Linked DNA regions of Drosophila melanogaster. Changing the gene in region 1 together with any one later gene gives a genetic interaction. Each region holds a gene or a part of one and is shown in the gene's direction. Other genes may lie near its edges.

Region 1 (4,820 bases):
CATGCAAAATGTGCACAATACGTCAATCAGAAGGTGAATTTCCGGGGTTGTCCCTTTTTTTTTCGAAAAAAATGCGAAAATCTGATTTTCACGTGACAGTCTGTGAAATAGGTATGTAGCACCTAGTCCGCCGGCGAATCCATTGAGAATCGCTCGGGTTGATAAGCCGCATCTTCCGTCAAGTGTGTGTAATAAGTTTGCCGTCTAATCAATTCCAGAATATTTCAAACGATTAGTACGAATTCGATGATCCCAGGCGGGAGATTGGATTTCCACAGATTATTCGGGCCAAGAAATTGTGCGCACGAGTGCAGTTTGGATGTCTGCGGCACATCCTTTCCGTTGGCCAAAAAATCCATAAGCGAAAGGGATACTTGGACTTGATGGCGGAACCGGAAACGGAAGCTGTCACGCAAGCCTTTCACTCGCCGCTCAATTTTTCATCCCGCAGTGTCAGTTGTATGAGTCACGAGTCATGTGTAACCGGAAAATTGCCTACTCTTGTGTGCTTCAAATGCTCGGAAAATGCTTTAAAATATTGCATATTTCTTAGCTTGCGAGTTTTTGATTCTACAGAGTAAAAAAAAAATACCTAAATGTTTGTGTAAATCAATGAAATTAATAGCTTAACTTGTTTTCTTCATATTTCTCGGTTAAAAAGTTATGGAAATATGATATTTTGTAGTTTGATAGAAAATTTTTAATGAAATTTCTATGACTTTCCACATCTCGTTTACTTTTCATGGAAATACACTTCTATTCACCCCAATTGATGACTTTATTTTCTGATTGTGTGGGCTAGTTCCCTATTGAATTCAATTATTTTCAAGCGTTTACTGCTGCTTGCGATCAATTAGTTTAATAATCAATTTAGGTGTGCTGTTAATGCTTAGCTAAATGTAAAGAGTGAGTCAGCTAAACGATTTAAACAAATTTTCTGCCACGTTTATTTGTTGGCGAAAAAGCGCGTTGATTTGCGCTATTCATGTGACGATGTTTAGAGTAAATTGAGTTGTATTTTAAATTATTTCTGTTAACATTTGTAAACGAATAAAGTTTTTTTCCATTGCAAGAAGTTGAAATTTAACCCTCTTTGGATGTAAGCTTTTCAATATATTTAGTCTTAATAAGTCTAGCTCAAAAATAAGTACTATAATTTAATAATTATATACATTTTACATAGCCTCGGCCCATTACCTTAATTTTAATGATACAAAGATGTTACTATGTAAGTCGGAAGCTTATTAAAAACCGAAAATCATCAAATCAACTAGATGCACAATGTTAAGATCATGTTTTTATTAAGATTATATTTTAGATAGATACTCTTGAGGTGGCATTGGTTTCTTGAGATGGAAAATACATCTATCTATCTATGTATCTATAAGAACTTAAATATCTGGCGGCCTGCTTGCGATCTGCGATCAACCGATTGAGTTGAGCTTTGACCCATGGAAAGAGGAGCGCGGTGGGCTATCTACCCATGATATCCAGTTTAGGGGTTGCCCTGCCAATGACGTCATAGTTGCTGCGTCAACGAAAAAGAAGATCAATGGTCATTTAAGATCGGTTCGGTTCAGTTCGGTTCGGTTGCGGTGCGCTTCGTCACTCATCGTTCATCGCATCGTATGGTATCGTATGGTATCGTATGGTATCGTATCGCATCGCATCGCTTCGGTTCGGTTTCAGTTCCGTGCTCAAGTTCTCCAGCTGGGGGGTTGGACTTGGACTTGGAGCTTGGGGCTTGGTTAAAAAGCCGCCGCTCGCCGGCAAATCAGTTCTGCTGCGATCGCGCCACTGCGCACTACGTAACGCTTCGGGAATCGCACATCCAGATCCAGATTCAGATCCACATCCAGATATCTGTGACATTTTGTCGAGTGAGTTGCGTTCTCAAAGATACAAGATACATCCGTGCGCGTATGTGTGTGTTTGCATGAATTTCGGCTCTTTTAATACCCTTTTTTTTTCGCGTGCACTAAGTGTTCCTATGTGTGTGTGTGTGGAGTTGCTTTTCAGTTGGGGCCGCAACTGCAACAATAAAATGCAATTAAGCCGCTCAAATCAACAATAAATTGAATTAAAGCGCGTGAACAGCGCTTAACAACTTCAACAGCGGCGATTCGAGCGAAATGTGGGTGAGAGTTTAAGGCTCCATCGGTTTTGACTTTCTGATTGTACAAATATGTATATATATATACTATAGCATACATACCTTCGACTAATTAATGCAAAACGCTGGCCGGCAGCTTTTGCATAATATTCTCTGAATAACTTTAATGCAATTAATCCCGCTGTGATCTTTCGTGTTTTCACTATTTCGCGCGGTTTATTCAATTTGAATTTCAATTTATTTTCGGTTTTTCTGTTTCATTTTGTTTATACATATATATATTTGTTCGGTCTAGTCTGCTCATCGGGCGATTTAATTAACATTTTCCGTGCTGCTGTGCTGTTGTTGTTGCTGGTAAATATGAAATTAAAGTGCAATTAACTATTATATATACATATATATATATATACATATATATATGTATATCTATGGTTTTGCTGAACTTGCGGACAAAAGGGATTTCCGTTTTTGAAAGTGCGACTCCGCTCGATTATTCTCCGTCCGTCGAATGTGTTTGCATCTTAATGAGGATAAATTTGTTATGGCCACTTCCCGTTCGCTATTGTTGTTGTTGTTGTTGTTGTTGTTGTTGTTTTTGCTGTGGTCGGTCGAAGGGGGCGTGACTTATTGGCCATGCATTACGCCATGTTAATTGAAACTTGTCGCTTGGCTAGCTGATTATGCAGACGCCATATTAATTGGACCATGGACCATGAGAGCATGGACCATCCATGTCCTCTAATCGAAATCCCGGCGACATTTGGATGAGTTGGGCGGTGGAAGCTGGCCAAACCAGTTACGGAGATCATTGGGATTTTGGCTTATCGATCCGGACTTAGATTGTGTGTGTGTGTGTTTGTGTTTACCCTGTTTATCTCGCCGGCAATGTGCGTTGAACCTTTGAGCTGCATCTGAAATAAGTAGAATGCAATGTAGTTAAGCTTTTTCTTGGGGTATATTCACTTGCCTACTTATTTTTATTAATTATTTTCCAAATATATCAAATATATATCAAATATATCAAATATATTATATACATCAAATTTTCAAATATGCAAATATCATTTAATGCTATTGGTACAGCTATTAATCAACTATACATGTAAATTGTTTATGCTTGTTACACTAAATTGAGTAATAATCCGGAAAACTCATGATAATTGACGGTTTGACAAAAATGATAGTAATATAGCATTTTGCAAGGGCAGAACTGCCACTTTGTAAATACAGTGATTGGAGTATCTATTAATTAGACAAAACTTGGCTTGCTGATATACTGCAAATATTTGTAAATTACTAGGTTCGGGCCTTTTAGCAGCTTTTTTTATGCCTTTAAATTGCAACTGCAATGAATTGAAGTACAAGAAATAAGTCATTCTGTTTAATGGAAAGTTAACGAGACTCATTTCTCAAATTCGCTAAATAAATTATATAAAAATGTATTCATATATTTTAACATTATATGACATAATGTTGAGTAAAGGGTATCCGTAAAATATCACTTGCATTTAATTTTTTGTAACTGCCTCGTTTGCTGCTTCTCGAATTTGCATAAAATGGAAATTAGTTTGTGTACTTAAAATTTCCAATTGAATTGGTTTTTTGACTCTGCTATTTGAAATCTGATTTTTATTTGTGCGTTGTTCAAATTCACCCCTCTCTTTCTATTTCTCTTTTGATTTACACTGCGGTGGTCACTGTGTTGTGTGTTTCAGTTTCGTTTTCAGTCAAATGCGGCACTAAAATGTTAATTCAGCCAAAGCAAACAACGATTATCGAGTGAAATAGGAATCGAACGCCACAAATCGCGAACTCGGGGTGAAGATCGAGTGCCTCGATGACTATGTTTTGGCAACAAAATGTAGACCACCAGTCGGATGAGCAGGACAAACAGGCGAAGGGTGCGGCGCCCACAAAGAGATTGAACATCAGCTTCAATGTGAAGATCGCGGTGAATGTGAATACCAAGATGACCACCACCCACATCAATCAGCAGGCACCTGGCACCTCCTCCTCCTCGTCGAACTCCCAGAATGCCTCACCCAGCAAGATTGTGGTCCGCCAGCAGAGCAGCTCCTTCGATCTACGTCAGCAATTGGCTCGCTTAGGCCGCCAATTGGCCAGTGGCCAGGATGGCCATGGCGGCATATCCACCATACTGATCATCAATCTTCTCCTGCTCATTCTACTCTCGATCTGCTGCGATGTCTGCCGATCGCACAACTATACGGTGCACCAGAGTCCCGAACCCGTCTCCAAAGACCAAATGCGCCTGCTGCGTCCCAAGCTGGACAGCGATGTGGTCGAGAAGGTGGCCATCTGGCACAAGCACGCCGCCGCAGCTCCGCCAAGCATTGTCGAGGGCATCGCCATCAGCAGCAGGCCACAGTCAACGATGGCCCATCATCCAGATGATCGAGATCGGGATCGTGATCCTTCGGAGGAACAGCATGGCGTCGACGAGCGAATGGTCCTGGAACGCGTGACCAGGGATTGTGTGCAGCGCTGCATTGTTGAGGTGAGTTCTAGATTTCTAACATTACCTAAGTTTTATATTGTATTTACATACATTGTGATAATGCACATTTCGTGATGGTGTCAAAAGAGCATAAAACATGCATAAAACATGCATAAAACATGACTTTCCCCAGGGCAAAGCAAAGAAAAAAAAGGGTAAAGCGACATTCGGGTGCGAAATGTTTATTTT
Region 2 (4,780 bases), on another chromosome or scaffold:
TTCTCAACTCGATGTTCGGCTGTCAGTTGCATGCTCTTCGATTTTGACAGATGATTCCGTACGGTTTGGGCAGTGTACCTTTTGATTGAGGTCTTCTGGCTTGGGACAGACGGCTATTAATATGTTTGATTATGGCTGCAGACCGGAGCATGGCGCTTTTACCCCATCGTGGAAATCTGTGGAAATGCTTTTCAATTTAAATGTATTTTCATGCTCTGAAACAAAGCGCCGAGCAAGACAATGCAACGCCTCTCGAGAGTCACAGCGTGGGATTCGAGATTCAAATGTGGACCGAGGAGTTAGTTGCGCTTTTCCAAGTGCACCTTTTGTATTTCTGTTATGGCAAAGTGAAAAAGGTCAAAACGCTTCGGATTTACCTGCCGAAACAGTGTCCTTTTGGCCCGATCCCGCAGAGCACATGGCGCAGGCGTAAAAACCCCGATTTCTTGTGGGCTGGGAACAGGTGAAGAAGAGGCCAACGAGATCTCGGTCTTGGATCTGCCCTAACAATGTTGACAACGCTCGTACAAAAATCTTTTTGCCAAAAGACAATCCATGGCCCACGCAGGCTCGGCTCACAGACACAGATGCAGATGCGGGCACAGTTACACACACAAACACACACAGATACAGATACAATTGCCGAGATCTTTTGTGCTTATATGGCAGCATTGCCCACACATACCCATGTATATACAGCCAGGTGAGAGAGCGGCGATCGCTTTACCTGAACGCTCTCAAATTCGCCGCAACAACAGAACCTCCAACAACAACAACAACAACAGCAGCAGTGTCAAGAAATTGGGATATACACAAGATCTTACCTGGGAACGACCTGCAATCGATGCGAATCTTAAATGCCCTGCACAGCTGTCGGAGTTAAGATGCTGTCGGATAATCCCCGCATTGGTTTTTTTGCTCTTGTCTTTGCTATTGGGCATTTTGGGGGGAGGGGAAAATCAGGACATTGTTGCTCAAGTACTTTCCTTTGTTGGAAAACTCGTCTCTGCAGTTGAAAAGGCTATTTATGGCGCCTTCTTAATCCTACCTAAACTTTGCTATCTTAAAACTGAGGTTGTTGCGTATAAATGCTTCTTAACTTTTTTAACATAAATCCCGTGTGTATATTATTTATACACGCCCTGTATATCGAGCAACATATTTTGTGCAAAAAGATTGTCCTTCTTTGGTATCCACTCTTCAAGCTTGGGATACTTAACCGCTCTGAGCCATGTACTCTATGTTAAGATTGTTAGTTGAAGTTATGTTCTGCGAACTTAAGATCTCTAGTTGGTGTTTCCGTTCATTTGAGATGGCGCTAAATTCGATTCTGTGCATTAGGGCCAACGTTTAGCATTTTCCCATGATATGTAGAGCATTTGCTGGTCTGGGGGAAGATTGCCCAATGTATCTGGCCGTATCGTTTCGTATTACGCTGACTTTTTAAAATGCTGCTGCTACGTTTACGATTACCTGTGGATTGTGGATGGAGATGGTCCGCTGGCGGTGCGAGTGGGAACGCTGCACTGAGCGAGCGAGAGGTGGCGACAGCGGTGCGCAGCTGTGCCGTAGTTGTTGCTGTATCGCTGGCTTTGCTTTTATTTTGACCTGATCTGAGCTCGAGATTTCGCCGTTCACCTTTATTTTTACCTGTGCGCGCTCTTTTCGCCGCAATCGAGAGTAAGAAACACGGCGAGAGAGTGAGAGAGAGAGACAGAGAGGGAGCAGCGCCTTTTGGCTGCGGCTTTGGCCTCAGTCTCGAATACAACTTGTTGCTGCGCGGACGCGAATCGCTCAGTACGGACGTCTTGAGCTCGAATCCTCGGCCATATCTGTGCTCTCGATCGCAGCGTTTGCTAATTCGAAGATCGTGCTAATCGAAGTACCGAGAAATCACAGTTCGCAAAACGACCAAAACCAAAGCCAAAAACGGGGTGTAAGCCAAGTGCCTTTGGCCTATACTATACTACTAAGCGTATTTTTGTGAATACCCTGCTAATTGGCAGCCGCGGCTGTGGCGGTTGTGGCTCAGTTCGAATGATGGCCAAGTGTGTGTGTTTTGTGCAAGTTAACCGCTGCGGGGGCAACACAACAATTGCTTAGGGCAATCAATTAAAGCTGAAAGCTAAGAGCTGCGCCTGCGCACGCCTCTCTAACCTCAAAAATCGTTGGCGAACTCAAAAAAGAAGCTGAAAAATACATCTGAAAAATAACAAAAATTTTATTTTTTACATACACTCATATATATATATATATATATATGAAAGCCTTCGGACGACTCTTGTGGCTCGTAATGTGAAACTGGTTCCTACACTCACGCACACACTCACTCACTGGCGCGTTCAAAAGACCCACTCGAAAACACACACTCACTCTCACGCGCATACACAGTGAAATGTAAACACCAATACAGTGGCAAATTGCAACGACAACAGCTTAAATTCAAAACAACAACAACAACAACAGCAACCGCAGCAAACGCAGTGAAAGAGTCGAAATCAAATTTATGAAAAGCTGTATTTTTGGCACGCAAAGCTGAGTGAGCAAAAAGCCGAAAGTAAACCGCAAGTTCAAGAAAAAGAAACGAATAAAAAATAACCCCTATGACGTCAGGGGTTATAGCTTGGAAGAGGGCTTGATTCATCCCACCAGTAACGCCCACAAAAAGCACCAACCACCAAACCACCCACCGCCCCGCAACAATGCTGCTGCGACGGCGCAACGGCCCCTGCCCCTTCCCCCTGCTGCTCCTGCTCCTGGCCCACTGCATTTGCATTTGGCCCGCGTCGGCGGCCCGCGATCGCTACGCCCGCCAGAACAATCGCCAGCGCCATCAGGATATAGATCGCGATCGGGATCGAGATCGATTCCTATACCGCAGCAGTTCGGCCCAAAATCGACAGAGGGGCGGGGCCAACTTCGCCCTGGGACTGGGAGCCAACGGAGTCACCATTCCCACCAGTCTGGAGGATAAGAACAAGAACGAGTTCGTCAAGGGGAAAAGTAAGTGCACCGCAAGGATCTATCCATCTTCCTCAAGCCGCCCATCATCTATCAAAATGTGTTTATGTAGATCATCTGGCTGACTGACTGGCTGCCCATATATCAAAAGAGCCAAGTCGTCCCGAATTTGGCCACCGTATCAGTTGGTCTCTAGAGTTTCCACCGTTTTCAGGTGTTTTTTTTTTTATTGTAGTTTCGTGCCAGCGATATGCTGTCGTTTATCTTATCGCTGTGATGTTTTTTTTTTATTTTTCCCCTGTACTGCACTTTAAATATAGCTTCGTTTTCGGCTGCATTTCGTATTATTTGGTCTTATCGTTACCCTGGGAATATCAATTATCGAGGGGTAGCTGCAAAGTGTGCAATATTACAAATATTTTACTAAGCTCATAGATTAAAAAACACTTGCAATAGTGTGTGAATTCGTAGTATTTTAAGTAATATAAGCTTACTTAACATTTATGTGTCTGGAATATGGACTTTGAATGATATTTCCCAATATCACGTATACGCCAGGGTATCCCCTAGTCCAGAGTGAATGCTCCCTCCATTTAATACCTGCCCTTCGCGACGGTCTCACCTGCCCTGTGGCTCACCTCTTGACTTGGCGCTGGCTTAGTCAAAGAGTCTTGTGTGCACTATCGCCCCTGTTTCGAGTTACCCCCACACCTAGCCATCAGATATCACGGCAAACATACCAGAATACCAGAACGCACTGATTAGCCAAGCACTGAGCACTGTGCTGTGCATTTCGTAATGTCAAATGTACAAGGTAAAGCGTAGTAGTTAGTTAGTGTTAAGACCGCCCGATTTTTCCACTCTGCCACTTTTCCCGCCGTCTGCGTGCCCTTTTCTGTGCATCAGCAGCAATTGCAATTGCAACAGCAAAAGCAACAGTAAGAGCAATAGGGCAACTGCAACTAGCGACACAATTTCCAGCTAAAATGGCGACTCAATTTGTTGACTCTGCAGTTCTCGAGGTTTTCTTTGTGGGCTCTTTGTTTCTTACCCGTTGGAAAATAAATTAATACACAAAATTTGGTATTCGCATATTGGAAGTTTTGGCTGCTTGGCTGGCTGGCTGTATGTTTGGGTAACCATTTGGCCACAATTTAATGAACTCCATGGCGTATCTGGCGGTGTCTGTTTGCACAGTACTTTGAGGCAAATGTTTGTATTCGGCGGGCAAACAGAAAAGTAAAAATTAAATGGGAGGCGAATAAAAGCGGGCCGTCGATACCAAGTACTCAGTGATCTTGTAGCTGCAAATTAATAACTGAATGTGCGCATTGTGCGCCAGCAACTGTGCAAATATTGATAGGAAAACGAAAACTTTGGCTACGCAGTCTATGCTAATGGGAGACGGGAGACCACCACCGCATAGCCGGATATGTGGATGTGGTATGTATGTATGTATGTATGGCTAGATAAGCGAGTTATGAAACCGATAAAGATGCCAGAACCTTAAAAAGCGATATTACCCTTTTTTTTCGCACAGACGATCGCTGCTGTCACAATGCCCTTTTCGCAGAAATTGTTCGAGTTATTTGCTCTGGCTTACTGTTTCGCTGTTTTCTTTATGACCATAAAAATAAGCACAGCTGCGGCATGTATGCAAATAAATGCTAGAGAAAAGCCTGCACGTGCATTCGAATCGAAACCGTTAAAAAAATCGTTGGGGGTAGGAAACTCGAACAACTGGCAATTGTTGTTGACGTCTTTATAGTTCAAAACGCTACACTCGCTGGCAAAAAATCACCTTTTAATTGTTCATTCA
Region 3 (5,039 bases), on another chromosome or scaffold:
GCTTGGAGGCGCGTGATCTCGTTTTCCAGCTGCAGTCGGAAGTACAGAACCGATTCAATGGCACGGCGAACTTCCAAGGGCGATTCCTCATTGGACAGGTAGAAGCTATTGCGTTTCTCCTTCTCACAGCGCGAGTTCACCTTTCCCCGCGAGACACTAACAAACGGACTGAGATAGTTGGGCATTCCATTGGATTCGCGACGTGGCGGTGTCTTTGTACCCTCTGGCACCAAAGTGGAATCTCCAGTGTCTTCTTTAACTGAAAGGAAAATGTGAGTTTGAGTTTAAGATTGGAGAAGGCGTATCCCAAACTCACCCGTCGTCTGCTGAGGATCCAAGATGAGCGAGTCCTCCGCCGGCGAATTCGCCACTGAGTAACGCGTAAAGTCGAACTTTTTCTTTGCCACCGGACCTGACGCCTCTTTCTTACCTTCCGGCAGCAACTGCCTTTTCACCGAACTTTCTCCTTCAGCTTTGACCGGTGCCACCGGGCTCAACAAGATGGTGTCGCCAAACGCCTCCAAAAGATGACCGCTGCTATTGTTCGACTTGCACTGCGTTGATGTGGCCTGGTCGATAAAGGGATTATGGATATCGTCTAGCGGCGTGAGAGGCGGTATATCTAGCGTGGCTGCGTGCAGCAACTCGGCTTTGAGCTGAGGAAGCTTTCGCACGTTGTCCTGAAGCCTCGTGTACTGGCTCTTTATCTTGGTGGCCTTCATTCGTATGGAGTGACTTGCTGCCTTGCTGGTCGCTCCAGCTGTGTCCTTGAACTTGGCCGCGGCACCACCTCCGCCACGTATAGGCTGTGGTTTCACGACATTCGCCCGTCGTGTCACTGGTGCCTTGTTTCCTAAAGGTTTCTCGAACGGCTTGGACAACACATTGGGCAGTCTAGCTGTCCGTGGCGCTGGCGGCTCAGGTAATCTTGGCTTTGTGCTGACCACTGGTGGCTGTTGTCGTATGCCTGGCGTTTTCGCTTTCGTGACTGTCGCTGGGGTGGGTCTGGGTATGGTGGTAGTGATCTTTTTCGCTTCAATCCCAGGCTGCCTTACACTGGTAGTTTGCTTCGTTGTGTTGGGAATGGGTCGTGCAGCTGCTTTTTGCCTGGCCAAGGCCACTGGATTGTTGTTCTGACGAATTGCAGGCACTATTTTTGTTGCAGAAGCAGCTGATTTATGCCTGGCCAAGGCGGAAGATGCAGCCACGGTATTGGATGACGGAGGAGCTGCTGCTGACGTTGGCTTGGGTATTGAAGGTTTAATCGGTTCTGCGGCTTTTCCCTTGCCCGTCGGATTGGCAATCATGTAGAGAGAACACCGCTTGGGAGGCTGGAACATGGGAGCCGCCTCCTTCTGCTTTGCAGAAGCCAGATTATCGGGAACCCGAAATGTTTGTGATTTGGGCAAGGCCTTTGATTGTTTTACTGTCGGCACATTGATGGCTGCGCCTCGACGTTTCTGGTCTTGCTGCTTATGCTCCTTGGTCTTGGCTATCTTCCACTCCATGTAGCGTTGTAAGTAGAGCTTCTGGCGGGAGACCTTCGGGTTGGATTCCTTCAGCAGTTCTGCGGGCTTCGTGTCCAGCCGCTCCGGACTCTCCAGTTTGGGTGCCACATTTTCCTGGGTCAGAGCAGCTTGGGCCGCCGCCAATTGCTTTATTTTGACGGGCGTCGGGCTCACGCTGATGATGCGGTTCTGATAAAAACAATCCTCTCGTTTTTTGGCGCGCGCCGCCTGCAACCGATCCCTGTTCTCCTGGCAGTGATTGCGCGGACTCAGCACCAGCGATTGCTCCTTGTACAGTTCCTTGTGGCGCTGCATGGCGACTGCTGTGACGGATGGGCGAGTCAAACTGAAGTGTCCGGTTGGGAATGAAACGTAATGCTGACTTTTCCGGCGAAGCGTCTCCTGTTTTGATTTTTAAAATGGCGAAGCGTCTTGCGGTGTGACCAGGTGAAGGAAAACTACGAAAGCCCTGCGGTATGCCTCTCCCACAGTGTTGTGTTCAGTATATTTTCTTGGAATAATAAAGCGACCCGGCCACGGTCACGCTGCTATGAAAATAAAAGTGAATTACAAATTTAGCAGTAGTAATATGTTAGCCAAACCGCTCCCGCGCCTAATTAGTGTCGCTTAAGCTTGCAGCCACCCTAGCCCTTTGAAATTGTAAGCCCGGCGGCCTCTTTGCACGTGCCAGAGACTCGAAAATAGTTAGCCGCAACTTACGCATATAGAAATATAAGCGCCGCGTGTGTGTGTGTGTGTGTGTTTATTGGGGTTACAAAAAATAAAACAAACAACAACGTCACCGCGGCAGCATTGCCAACAGCAAGCACCCACGCCCTAGATTGCCAAATGTTAATTGTGTTCTAAGCGACACATTTCATATTATTTAAGGCAAATTACTTCGCATAACAACAAGTAATAGCCAAACATCGTCTAATTGCTTTTGCGGTACCTGCTTTTCCCCGAAATTCCAAATCGCAAGCTGCTGGCAACGCTGCCACGCTCACGCACACACACCCACACAGTGGCCGCCGTGGAGAGAGCGGCTCGTGTCTGTGTTCATTCTCTGTTGCTGCTCCGCCTGGGAATGTCGTCGTCGTCGGTGTATTTTTAATCGCTTTCTTCCCTTGCCTTCGCACAAGATATATTATTATTAACCGAACTGAGAAAAGCGCACTGCCGAATATCCATGATTTATCGTTTATATAATGTGCGCTAACTAATCGCGGATTCGTCTCGTTTCGTTTTCATTTCCACAGCACTGAGTAGTGAGTGAGAGAGAAATTCAAAGAGAGTTAGAGAGAAAGAGCAGAGAACGAGCGTGTGTGTCTGTGCCTCTGTGTGTGCGTGTGTGTGGTGCATCAAGGCTGATAGAACTAAATCCAAAACTACAATTGCAACTAAATTTTAAAACAAACTCCGAAAGCGTTTTCTAACTGCGCACAAAACAACACAGCAAAATGGAAGCGATTGCCAAACACGATTTCTCTGCGACGGCTGACGACGAGCTGAGTTTTCGCAAAACTCAGATTCTAAAGGTGAGTGCTGTTCCAAAATCATCAATTCCCACCTCAAATCATAATATCTGCATTTATTCATAGACTTCACACTGAATGGGGGCACGCAAGGGTGTAAGGGGGTGCACAGGGGGACGTGGCAGGTCCTGCATGCATAATCCGCTGCGATGCAGCTGCCGCCGTCCAGGTCGTTGCCTTAACCCACATCCTAGGTTCAATCCCCAGACAGATTTTGTTACTAAATCGCGACCAAACAGACAGCAGTCGCAAAAGCTGGCTAAAGAGTTTCAAAAGGTGCATTCGCAGAAGGCAACACGAAAGGATTACGACTCATTAGCCACCGCAGCCCGAATACTCTTACTAGAACGAAAAGATTCAGTCAAATATATTCCACTATCAGTACAAAATCCTTGTGAAGCATCACATACTGAAATATTGTACATTCTACTCTACATTTTTTCATTTCTCAACTGCACTTCAAATCTATCAAGACCATATTTTTGACCCCATTTAATCTGCATATAGTTGTGATTAGCATTACAAAGTAAGTTTAAAAAATGATGTGAGGAGGGGGTTTCTAAAGCTATAAACATGCATATATGATTTAATCTATATACTATACTTTGCAAATCTAGCATTTTTCACTGTGTTTCCTTGAATGAACTTATTTATTGTTAGCATTCCTATAGTATATATACTATTTCAACTTTCCTTATTCGTTTTCTTCCGAATGCTTAGAAAAACAATTCCAACAGTTTGTAGTGATGATATATTCGATGCCCCCTTTGACTTTGCGGAACTTTGTGGGGGACATCCGATGCTTACCCGTGTTGCTTGTATTCGCTGGCTTTTCTGGCCAAGAAAAAGGCTGCTGGCAGGCTGCGATTCGATCTTTTTCGCCGCCTTGCTTCCTTCCAGGTGTTTGTGTTTGTGTTGGCTCACTGGCTCGATGGCTGGCTGGCTGGCTGTCCTAGGCCAAACCCTTTGTTTTGGCTGGCGAATTTTCCGGTTTCTTGTTGCCAGGGCGCGATGTAAGCTGATTTTCGTTGCTGTGTGTCTACCTTGTCGTAGGTTAGTCACAGCAGGAACCCAGGCCCGTGGCAGGTTTTCTCCCTTTTTGTGCCTCTTTTTTTTGCGCCTCTTTTCCATATGCCGCCGCTGCATTTGCAGCATTTGTTGCTGCTGCTGCCGCTGCTGCTGATTGATGGTGTCAATGACTCGCCGAAGAGGCTTCTTTATCGCCGCCCGAAGGTCAAGTGTGTGCGCTGCTCCCGTCCATTAGAGGGGCTTCTACGCCGTAGATGAGCCCTCTGTCCAGCTGCACGGTCTTATCAATGGGTAAACAATCCGCACTGATAGTCATAGTTCGTTTAATAGCCCATAGTTCTGGGCTCCATTGATGCGGGGGATAAATAGAAATACACGATTATCTCGCATTGGAGATATGTATGTTACGCATATCTGTTCGAACTCCCAGCGCATTTGTTTGTTTGCCAGCGATTAGTCACTTCTCGATAGCCTTATCTGAAAAGATGCCCCAATCCAGCAAACATACAGCAGGCATAGAAGGCGATAGAGAGAGGAGCGCTGTGAATCATCAAACATTTCATTGGGGTTCGTTCTCTTTCCAGAAAACTGGTTTACAGGTCAGCGTATTTCTTGGATATTTGGAGCTCCATTTTCCAAAAAAAAAAATGCCTCCAATTCTAACGGCCTTGTTGTGTGGGCACCAAAAGTGGCCACGTTTTATCATAACAATGTGAAACACACGAAATGGGATTCTGTGCTCAACTTTCGCTTGTCGCGAAAACAGCGAAAAGTGAACGTTCGTGTTGCTTTGACACTTTTTTCAGCGTCGGATTTCCGAAACGACAATAGAATTTTTTCTCTAGTAATTACATAAGCATACGAGTATAAACAATTGATAATAACAATCATGGCCACTACGTGCCTGCCTTCCGAAAGCGCCGCTAAATATTTATGCATTATCCAACAGGCACATTGCACATTGCCT
Region 4 (7,861 bases), on another chromosome or scaffold:
GTGAGTAGCTGACTTCCACTCCTTACCCGTCATTAGTTCACCTAATGTTTTCCTTTAACCTTCAGTGCCGAAGCTGCAGTCTGCCGCTTTACTATCGCCACAGTCCCGACTCCCACGTAACCTTCGTCATGTCCAATGCCCTAATCCGCAACAAGGGTGAGAGTCCTCTCACACAGCTGCTGAATTCGGAGATCAAGGGCAGTTTCAAGGCACCGGCTGCCAAGCCAGCGACTTCCGCCGGTCCAGACGATTCGGGTATTGTGGATGCCAGTGGCAAGAAGGTCGTCGTCACCAGACACACGAAGAACATGGGCAAGTTCAGCTCGGTCACGGTGTCTACCATCGACGAGGAGGAGGATGAAATCGAGGCGGTAAGTTTGTCAGCTAAAGTTGGTTTGTAAATGGTGCAGGAAATCCAATCTATCATTGCATCATCTACGAACAAACCTACAACTCTTTCAAACTAACCATTTTTTTTGTTCATTCAAACAGCGCGAGATCGCAGACAGCTATGCGAACAACGCAAGGATTATCGAGAAGCAACTGCAGCGCAAAGGCGGAAAATTGAGCGATGTGGGCATCAAAACCAAGACAGAGGACGCACCTCCGCCGCAGAAGAAGCAGCGCGGCACGCTACTGGAAAGATAGTCACACTCTGCCTCCTTATTACCCACAACTAAATATATTTGACGACACAAATGGCTGGCATTCTTGGAAGAAAAATTGCAATTTATCTAGTTATAGCATACGCAAATAGTTTGACCTTCTATGCTGTCGTTTTGGCAGCAAACTGGGATGCTGTGCCAGTAGCTTCTTCAGTCGCTGCTCGGCGTGCTGGTGATTGAGAATCGAGTCCTTGACAAGCCCACAACTGGGACATAGATTGTACTCCGACTTTGACTTTTTGACGATCGCTGGACGCACGCGAGTCTCCATGATCAGCTTCATTCGATTCGTGGTACGCGGCGAGTTGTGCAGAGCAGTGAGTGGACGGCACTTACTTCTTGGCGAGGATTCGGTCCGTTCCAAAGCAGCCTTCTCCTTGCTCCTGACCAGCTCGAGTGCACGATTCGCTCGGGCTTTGGCCAGCTGCAATTCGAGAGGCGCCTTTGGCAGGTTAAAAAAGAAGTGGGTCCACTTATCGCGCAACTGTTCGATGGCCTCCGAGTTGAATAGTGAGCTGGAACGATTGGAGGTATGGGGTCCCCATTCCGCGTTCCCGATGCAACTCAATCTATAAGCGGACATTGAAACCTGAAGTATTATACACTGAAAATTTGACAACAAAGTAAAAGTGTACATATATGTGTATATGTATACTATATACCGTATAGTTATGGTTTTTGGATGGATTGTTTTTCAAATATATAATTATACGAGGGTATAGAAGCTTCGACTTCTGGAAGCTAGCTCCCTAACTGTTTTTGGTTTTTGTATTCTGTTGCATTGCATTGCTTTCATATGTTTAATTGTTTCAACTGAACACATTGTACTTGTTTTCGATTTAGAAGCGTTGAAAGCGGATGTATCTTACATTATCCAAGTAAAATAAGGGATGAGTCGATATGTATGTTGCATATCTCCTTACGATTTTAGATAAGGAAAGACATTTTATAAATATAAATATAAATTTCTTGAAATATAAACATTGAAGAGATAATTAAATTCATTTTTTTTGGGTAAATTATAATATATTTTAAACCTGCTCGTTGCAATTTAAATTCAAAATGCTTCTTCTTCTGCTAAAAAAGCCATTCAACACGAATGCTCTCTACATTGGATTTTTTAGTACATTCTTAAGCATCGAATCAGGGCTGGTCGCGAGCATTTACTGGATTTAGGCAGTGCCGCACTCTGGTCACACCGCGAAAAATATTATATTGAGTTGAAGATTATATTATACATATATATATCGAAGATACATATTCTGAAAACAAGTGCTGAAGCCCAAGCGATTTGCAAACGAAACGGACGCGCGAGCCCCGTTCAAGATTCGAAACGAGTTCAGTGCGTGCGCTTGAGTGTGTGTGACTGCCATGCGACGTTCGCCCGGGTGATCCGGCTGTGCCAGGTGCCCCACGGTTCCAGGTTTCCAGTTTCCAGGTTCCGCTCCACTCCACTCGTCGCTGGATTCAGTGCACAACACAGCGGGCGGGGAGGCGGAGGGCAGGCGGCCAACGAAGGTGCTCCACGGCAGGCTCTCGTCGGCTACTCCACGGCGCACAGAATGTTCTCGGGGCCCAGCGGCCATGCCCACACCATTAGCTACGGGGGCGGGATCGGTCTGGGCACTGGAGGCGGCGGCGGCAGCGGTGGTAGTGGTAGTGGCTCACAGGGCGGAGGCGGTGGTATTGGCATTGGCGGCGGTGGCGTGGCTGGGCTGCAGGATTGCGATGGCTATGACTTCACCAAGTGCGAGAATGCTGCGAGATGGAGGGGCTTGTTTACGCCATCGCTAAAGAAGGTGCTGGAGCAAGTGCATCCACGGGTTACCGCCAAGGAGGACGCACTGCTGTATGTGGAGAAACTCTGTCTGCGGCTTCTGGCCATGCTGTGCGCCAAGCCGCTGCCCCATTCCGTGCAGGATGTGGAGGAGAAGGTGAACAAGTCCTTTCCAGCGCCCATCGATCAGTGGGCCCTGAACGAGGCCAAGGAGGTGATCAACTCGAAGAAACGCAAGTCTGTCCTGCCCACGGAAAAGGTGCACACGCTGCTCCAGAAGGATGTGTTGCAGTACAAGATCGATAGCTCCGTGTCCGCCTTCCTGGTGGCCGTGCTCGAGTACATCTCAGCGGACATACTCAAAATGGCCGGCGACTATGTGATCAAGATCGCCCACTGCGAGATCACCAAGGAGGACATCGAGGTGGTGATGAACGCCGATCGTGTGCTAATGGACATGCTCAACCAGAGCGAAGCCCACATCCTGCCCAGTCCCCTGTCACTTCCCGCGCAGCGTGCAAGTGCCACCTACGAGGAGACGGTCAAGGAGCTGATCCACGACGAGAAGCAGTACCAACGCGACCTGCACATGATCATACGCGTCTTTCGTGAGGAGCTGGTGAAGATCGTGTCCGATCCGCGCGAGCTGGAACCGATATTCTCCAACATAATGGACATTTACGAGGTGACGGTCACTCTGCTCGGCTCCCTGGAGGACGTCATCGAGATGTCCCAGGAGCAGAGTGCCCCCTGCGTCGGTAGCTGCTTTGAGGAACTGGCCGAGGCCGAGGAGTTCGATGTGTACAAGAAGTACGCCTACGACGTTACCTCGCAGGCCTCACGGGATGCTCTCAACAATCTCCTGTCTAAGCCAGGGGTAAGTATTGATACCTTCTGTGCGAAGAATTCTACTAAAATCCCTGCTTTTAGGCCTCATCTCTGACCACAGCCGGCCATGGCTTCCGCGATGCGGTCAAATACTATTTGCCCAAGCTGCTTCTGGTGCCCATTTGCCATGCCTTCGTGTATTTCGACTACATCAAGCATCTCAAGGATCTCAGCTCTTCGCAGGACGACATCGAGAGCTTCGAACAGGTACAGGGACTGTTGCATCCACTCCACTGCGATCTCGAAAAGGTAATGGCCAGCCTGTCCAAGGAGCGACAAGTTCCGGTTAGCGGTCGAGTGCGCCGCCAGCTGGCAATCGAGCGGACACGGGAGCTCCAAATGAAGGTGGAGCACTGGGAGGACAAGGACGTGGGCCAGAATTGCAATGAATTTATTCGCGGTAAGTGCTGGCAACGAAAGTTACTTGCATCCTCCAACTAAAATGGTATTTCAAATTTACAGAGGATTCGCTGAGCAAACTTGGATCGGGAAAACGAATCTGGAGCGAGCGCAAGGTATTCCTCTTCGACGGGCTAATGGTGCTATGCAAGGCAAACACCAAGAAACAAACACCATCGGCAGGAGCAACGGCCTACGACTACCGACTGAAGGAGAAGTATTTCATGCGACGCGTGGATATCAACGATCGACCGGACAGCGATGATCTGAAGAACAGTTTTGAGTTGGCACCCCGGATGCAGCCGCCCATTGTGCTGACCGCCAAGAATGCACAGCACAAGCACGACTGGATGGCAGACCTGCTGATGGTTATCACCAAGTCGATGCTGGACCGGCACTTGGACAGCATATTGCAAGACATCGAGCGAAAGCATCCGCTGCGGATGCCCAGTCCGGAGATTTACAAGTTCGCGGTGCCGGACAGCGGTGACAATATCGTGTTGGAGGAGCGCGAAAGCGCAGGAGTGCCGATGATCAAGGGAGCGACGCTTTGCAAGCTAATCGAGCGCCTCACCTATCACATCTACGCCGATCCGACTTTTGTGCGCACCTTCCTCACCACATATCGCTACTTCTGCTCGCCGCAGCAATTGCTGCAACTGCTGGTGGAACGCTTTAACATACCGGATCCCAGCCTGGTCTATCAAGACACGGGCACAGCAGGTGCGGGTGGAATGGGCGGCGTTGGCGGTGACAAGGAGCACAAGAACTCGCATCGCGAGGACTGGAAACGATATCGCAAGGAGTACGTGCAGCCAGTGCAGTTTCGAGTGCTCAACGTACTGCGCCATTGGGTCGACCATCATTTTTACGATTTCGAGAAGGATCCCATGTTGCTGGAGAAGCTGCTGAACTTTCTGGAGCACGTGAATGGCAAATCGATGCGCAAGTGGGTGGATTCCGTGCTTAAGATTGTTCAGAGAAAGGTGAGTAGTTGGTCAACAGCATAATGTGGAAGTATCGTTATCATTTTTCAAATATTATTTACAGAACGAGCAGGAGAAAAGCAATAAAAAGATTGTATACGCCTATGGCCACGATCCGCCGCCCATTGAGCATCACCTTAGTGTACCCAACGACGAGATAACGCTCCTCACCCTGCACCCACTGGAACTGGCCCGTCAGCTCACTCTACTGGAATTCGAGATGTACAAGAATGTAAAGCCGTCTGAGTTGGTCGGATCACCCTGGACGAAAAAGGACAAGGAGGTGAAGAGCCCTAATCTACTGAAGATAATGAAGCACACCACGAACGTCACCCGCTGGATTGAAAAATCCATCACCGAAGCGGAGAACTACGAGGAACGCCTGGCTATTATGCAACGCGCAATCGAAGTGATGATGGTGATGCTGGAATTGAACAATTTTAATGGAATCCTCTCGATTGTCGCGGCTATGGGCACGGCATCTGTTTATCGACTGCGGTGGACATTCCAGGGATTGCCCGAACGCTACAGAAAATTCTTGGAGGAATGCCGCGAGCTCAGCGACGATCATCTCAAAAAGTATCAGGAGCGATTGCGATCCATCAATCCGCCTTGTGTGCCATTTTTCGGTCGCTACTTGACCAACATACTCCACTTGGAGGAGGGTAACCCCGACCTGCTAGCCAACACAGAGCTAATTAACTTTTCCAAACGACGGAAAGTGGCCGAGATTATTGGCGAGATTCAACAGTACCAGAACCAGCCATACTGCCTCAACGAGGAGTCCACAATACGACAGTTCTTCGAGCAACTGGATCCGTTTAACGGACTGTCCGACAAACAGATGTCCGACTATCTCTATAACGAAAGCCTGCGCATTGAGCCAAGGGGCTGCAAGACAGTGCCGAAATTCGTAAGTATAATGCTTCAAAGTTTACAAGTCATATAGGAAATTTAACCATTTTCCTTTCGTAGCCTCGAAAATGGCCGCACATTCCGCTCAAATCGCCGGGCATCAAGCCGCGTCGCCAGAATCAGACCAACAGCAGTAGCAAGCTGTCGAACAGCACGTCGTCCGTGGCGGCGGCAGCGGCAGCATCGTCAACGGCCACCTCAATAGCTACGGCATCGGCGCCATCTTTGCACGCCTCCAGCATAATGGATGCGCCAACAGCAGCAGCAGCTAATGCTGGATCTGGAACTCTCGCTGGCGAGCAAAGTCCGCAGCACAATCCGCACGCTTTCTCCGTTTTCGCCCCTGTTATTATACCCGAACGGAACACCAGCAGCTGGAGTGGAACGCCACAGCACACTCGAACGGACCAGAACAACGGGGAGGTTTCGGTGCCGGCGCCACATCTCCCCAAGAAACCGGGCGCGCATGTCTGGGCTAACAACAACTCGACACTGGCCAGTGCGTCGGCAATGGATGTTGTGTTCAGTCCAGCGCTGCCGGAGCATCTGCCACCGCAGTCCCTGCCGGACAGCAATCCATTCGCATCGGACACGGAAGCTCCACCGTCGCCGCTGCCCAAGCTAGTGGTCAGTCCGCGTCACGAAACCGGCAATCGATCACCATTCCATGGGCGCATGCAGAACAGCCCAACGCATAGCACTGCCAGTACCGTGACCCTTACAGGCATGTCTACATCGGGCGGGGAGGAATTCTGCGCGGGTGGATTCTACTTTAACAGTGCCCATCAGGGACAGCCGGGGGCAGTGCCCATCTCGCCGCATGTCAACGTTCCGATGGCCACCAATATGGAGTACCGAGCAGTGCCGCCTCCACTGCCACCCAGACGCAAGGAGCGCACTGAGAGCTGTGCGGACATGGCGCAAAAGCGTCAGGCGCCAGACGCACCCACAGTAAGTAGCCTCACTTACTTCTAATTTGTAGTAGCAGATGACAGCAATCATTTTACGTATCCTTGCAGTTACCCCCGCGTGATGGCGAACTCAGTCCGCCGCCGATACCGCCACGGCTCAACCATTCCACGGGCATCAGCTACTTGCGACAAAGCCACGGCAAGAGCAAGGAGTTTGTGGGCAACAGCAGTCTGCTCCTGCCCAACACCAGCAGTATTATGATACGCCGCAACTCGGCGATCGAGAAGCGGGCAGCGGCAACTAGCCAGCCAAACCAGGCGGCGGCGGGACCCATCAGCACGACACTAGTGACCGTGTCGCAGGCAGTGGCGACGGACGAACCGCTGCCGCTACCGATCTCGCCAGCGGCAAGCTCCTCGACGACCACATCACCGCTGACACCCGCCATGTCGCCCATGTCTCCCAACATTCCCAGCCATCCGGTGGAGAGCACGTCGAGCAGCTATGCCCACCAACTGCGAATGCGGCAGCAGCAGCAGCAGCAGACGCATCCAGCGATCTACTCGCAGCACCATCAACATCATGCCACCCATCTGCCGCACCATCCGCACCAGCACCATTCGAATCCGACGCAGTCGCGCTCGTCCCCCAAGGAGTTCTTTCCGATTGCCACGAGCCTCGAGGGCACACCCAAACTTCCACCAAAACCTAGTCTAAGCGCTAACTTCTATAACAATCCAGGTGAGTGCTACCAACTCGGCCCGTGATAACGTGTTTCCTAACCCAACCATCCTATCCGTTTGCAGATAAAGGTACGATGTTTCTTTACCCAAGTACAAACGAAGAATAATTTAAATTGCCTGGCGATGTGATAAGGACGAAAACTACGAGTATGATCCGTAAGATTCAAAGTTGCGAGCACTGCTTGAGTGCAGATATATATATGAGAGAACGGAACGTGAGATATATATATATATATATACATATATACGTAGGCGCAGTTTATGTATTCTAGTATGAAACGAGTTGGAACCGCTGATTTAGATTATTCGCCACTCATTTAACAAGGTAGAACAGACAGACAGACAAAATACGCTCTCATTTACACACAACAGGCACGCGCATATGGATAGGAATGCAGGACACACAAACCAAGCAAGCAACCAAGCAACCAACAAGAAATGCAAACAAGAAATTATGTTATTATATAATTACTATTATAAATATTTGTAAATATCGAGAACATTGTATTGATCGTAGAACGTAAAACAATAAAGTATAACCCTATTGTTAGACACTTGGCGACATCTTTCGATGAC

The links.
Region 2: of sev (region 1) and Egfr, changing one suppresses a phenotype caused by changing the other (phenotypic suppression), as found in Drosophila melanogaster (2 studies listed by BioGRID).
Region 3: of sev (region 1) and drk, changing one enhances a phenotype caused by changing the other (phenotypic enhancement), as found in Drosophila melanogaster (3 studies listed by BioGRID).
Region 4: of sev (region 1) and Sos, changing one suppresses a phenotype caused by changing the other (phenotypic suppression), as found in Drosophila melanogaster (4 studies listed by BioGRID).

Annotation. Positions count from the first base shown.
Region 1 is NC_004354.4:11,083,256-11,088,075, reverse strand, and holds the start of sev (sevenless), read left to right. Parts: upstream 1-1,776; 5' UTR 1,777-1,880; intron 1,881-3,828; 5' UTR 3,829-3,950; coding exon 3,951-4,631; intron 4,632-4,820. UniProt on the Drosophila melanogaster protein: Receptor for an extracellular signal required to instruct a cell to differentiate into an R7 photoreceptor. The ligand for sev is the boss (bride of sevenless) protein on the surface of the neighboring R8 cell.
Region 2 is NT_033778.4:21,544,889-21,549,668, forward strand, and holds the start of Egfr (epidermal growth factor receptor), read left to right. Parts: upstream 1-1,754; 5' UTR 1,755-2,702; coding exon 2,703-3,003; intron 3,004-4,780. UniProt on the Drosophila melanogaster protein: Receptor tyrosine kinase, binding ligands of the EGF family and activating several signaling cascades to convert extracellular cues into appropriate cellular responses. Known ligands include spitz, gurken, vein and giant-lens.
Region 3 is NT_033778.4:13,499,820-13,504,858, reverse strand, and holds the start of drk (downstream of receptor kinase), read left to right. Parts: upstream 1-2,017; 5' UTR 2,018-2,168; exon of another isoform or gene 2,169-2,934; 5' UTR 2,935-2,968; coding exon 2,969-3,046; exon of another isoform or gene 3,047-3,385; intron 3,386-3,850; exon of another isoform or gene 3,851-4,238; intron 4,239-5,039. Other genes in the region: mars, read right to left, coding at 1-259, 317-1,823.
Region 4 is NT_033779.5:13,811,987-13,819,847, forward strand, and holds Sos (Son of sevenless), read left to right. Parts: upstream 1-1,829; 5' UTR 1,830-2,227; coding exon 2,228-3,319; intron 3,320-3,372; coding exon 3,373-3,730; intron 3,731-3,792; coding exon 3,793-4,715; intron 4,716-4,779; coding exon 4,780-5,628; intron 5,629-5,690; coding exon 5,691-6,581; intron 6,582-6,649; coding exon 6,650-7,283; intron 7,284-7,348; coding exon 7,349-7,392; 3' UTR 7,393-7,838; downstream 7,839-7,861. Other genes in the region: CG16865 (uncharacterized protein), read left to right, coding at 66-371, 493-648; CG16888 (uncharacterized protein), read right to left, coding at 739-1,248. UniProt on the Drosophila melanogaster protein: Promotes the exchange of Ras-bound GDP by GTP. Functions in signaling pathways initiated by the sevenless and epidermal growth factor receptor tyrosine kinases; implies a role for the ras pathway in neuronal development.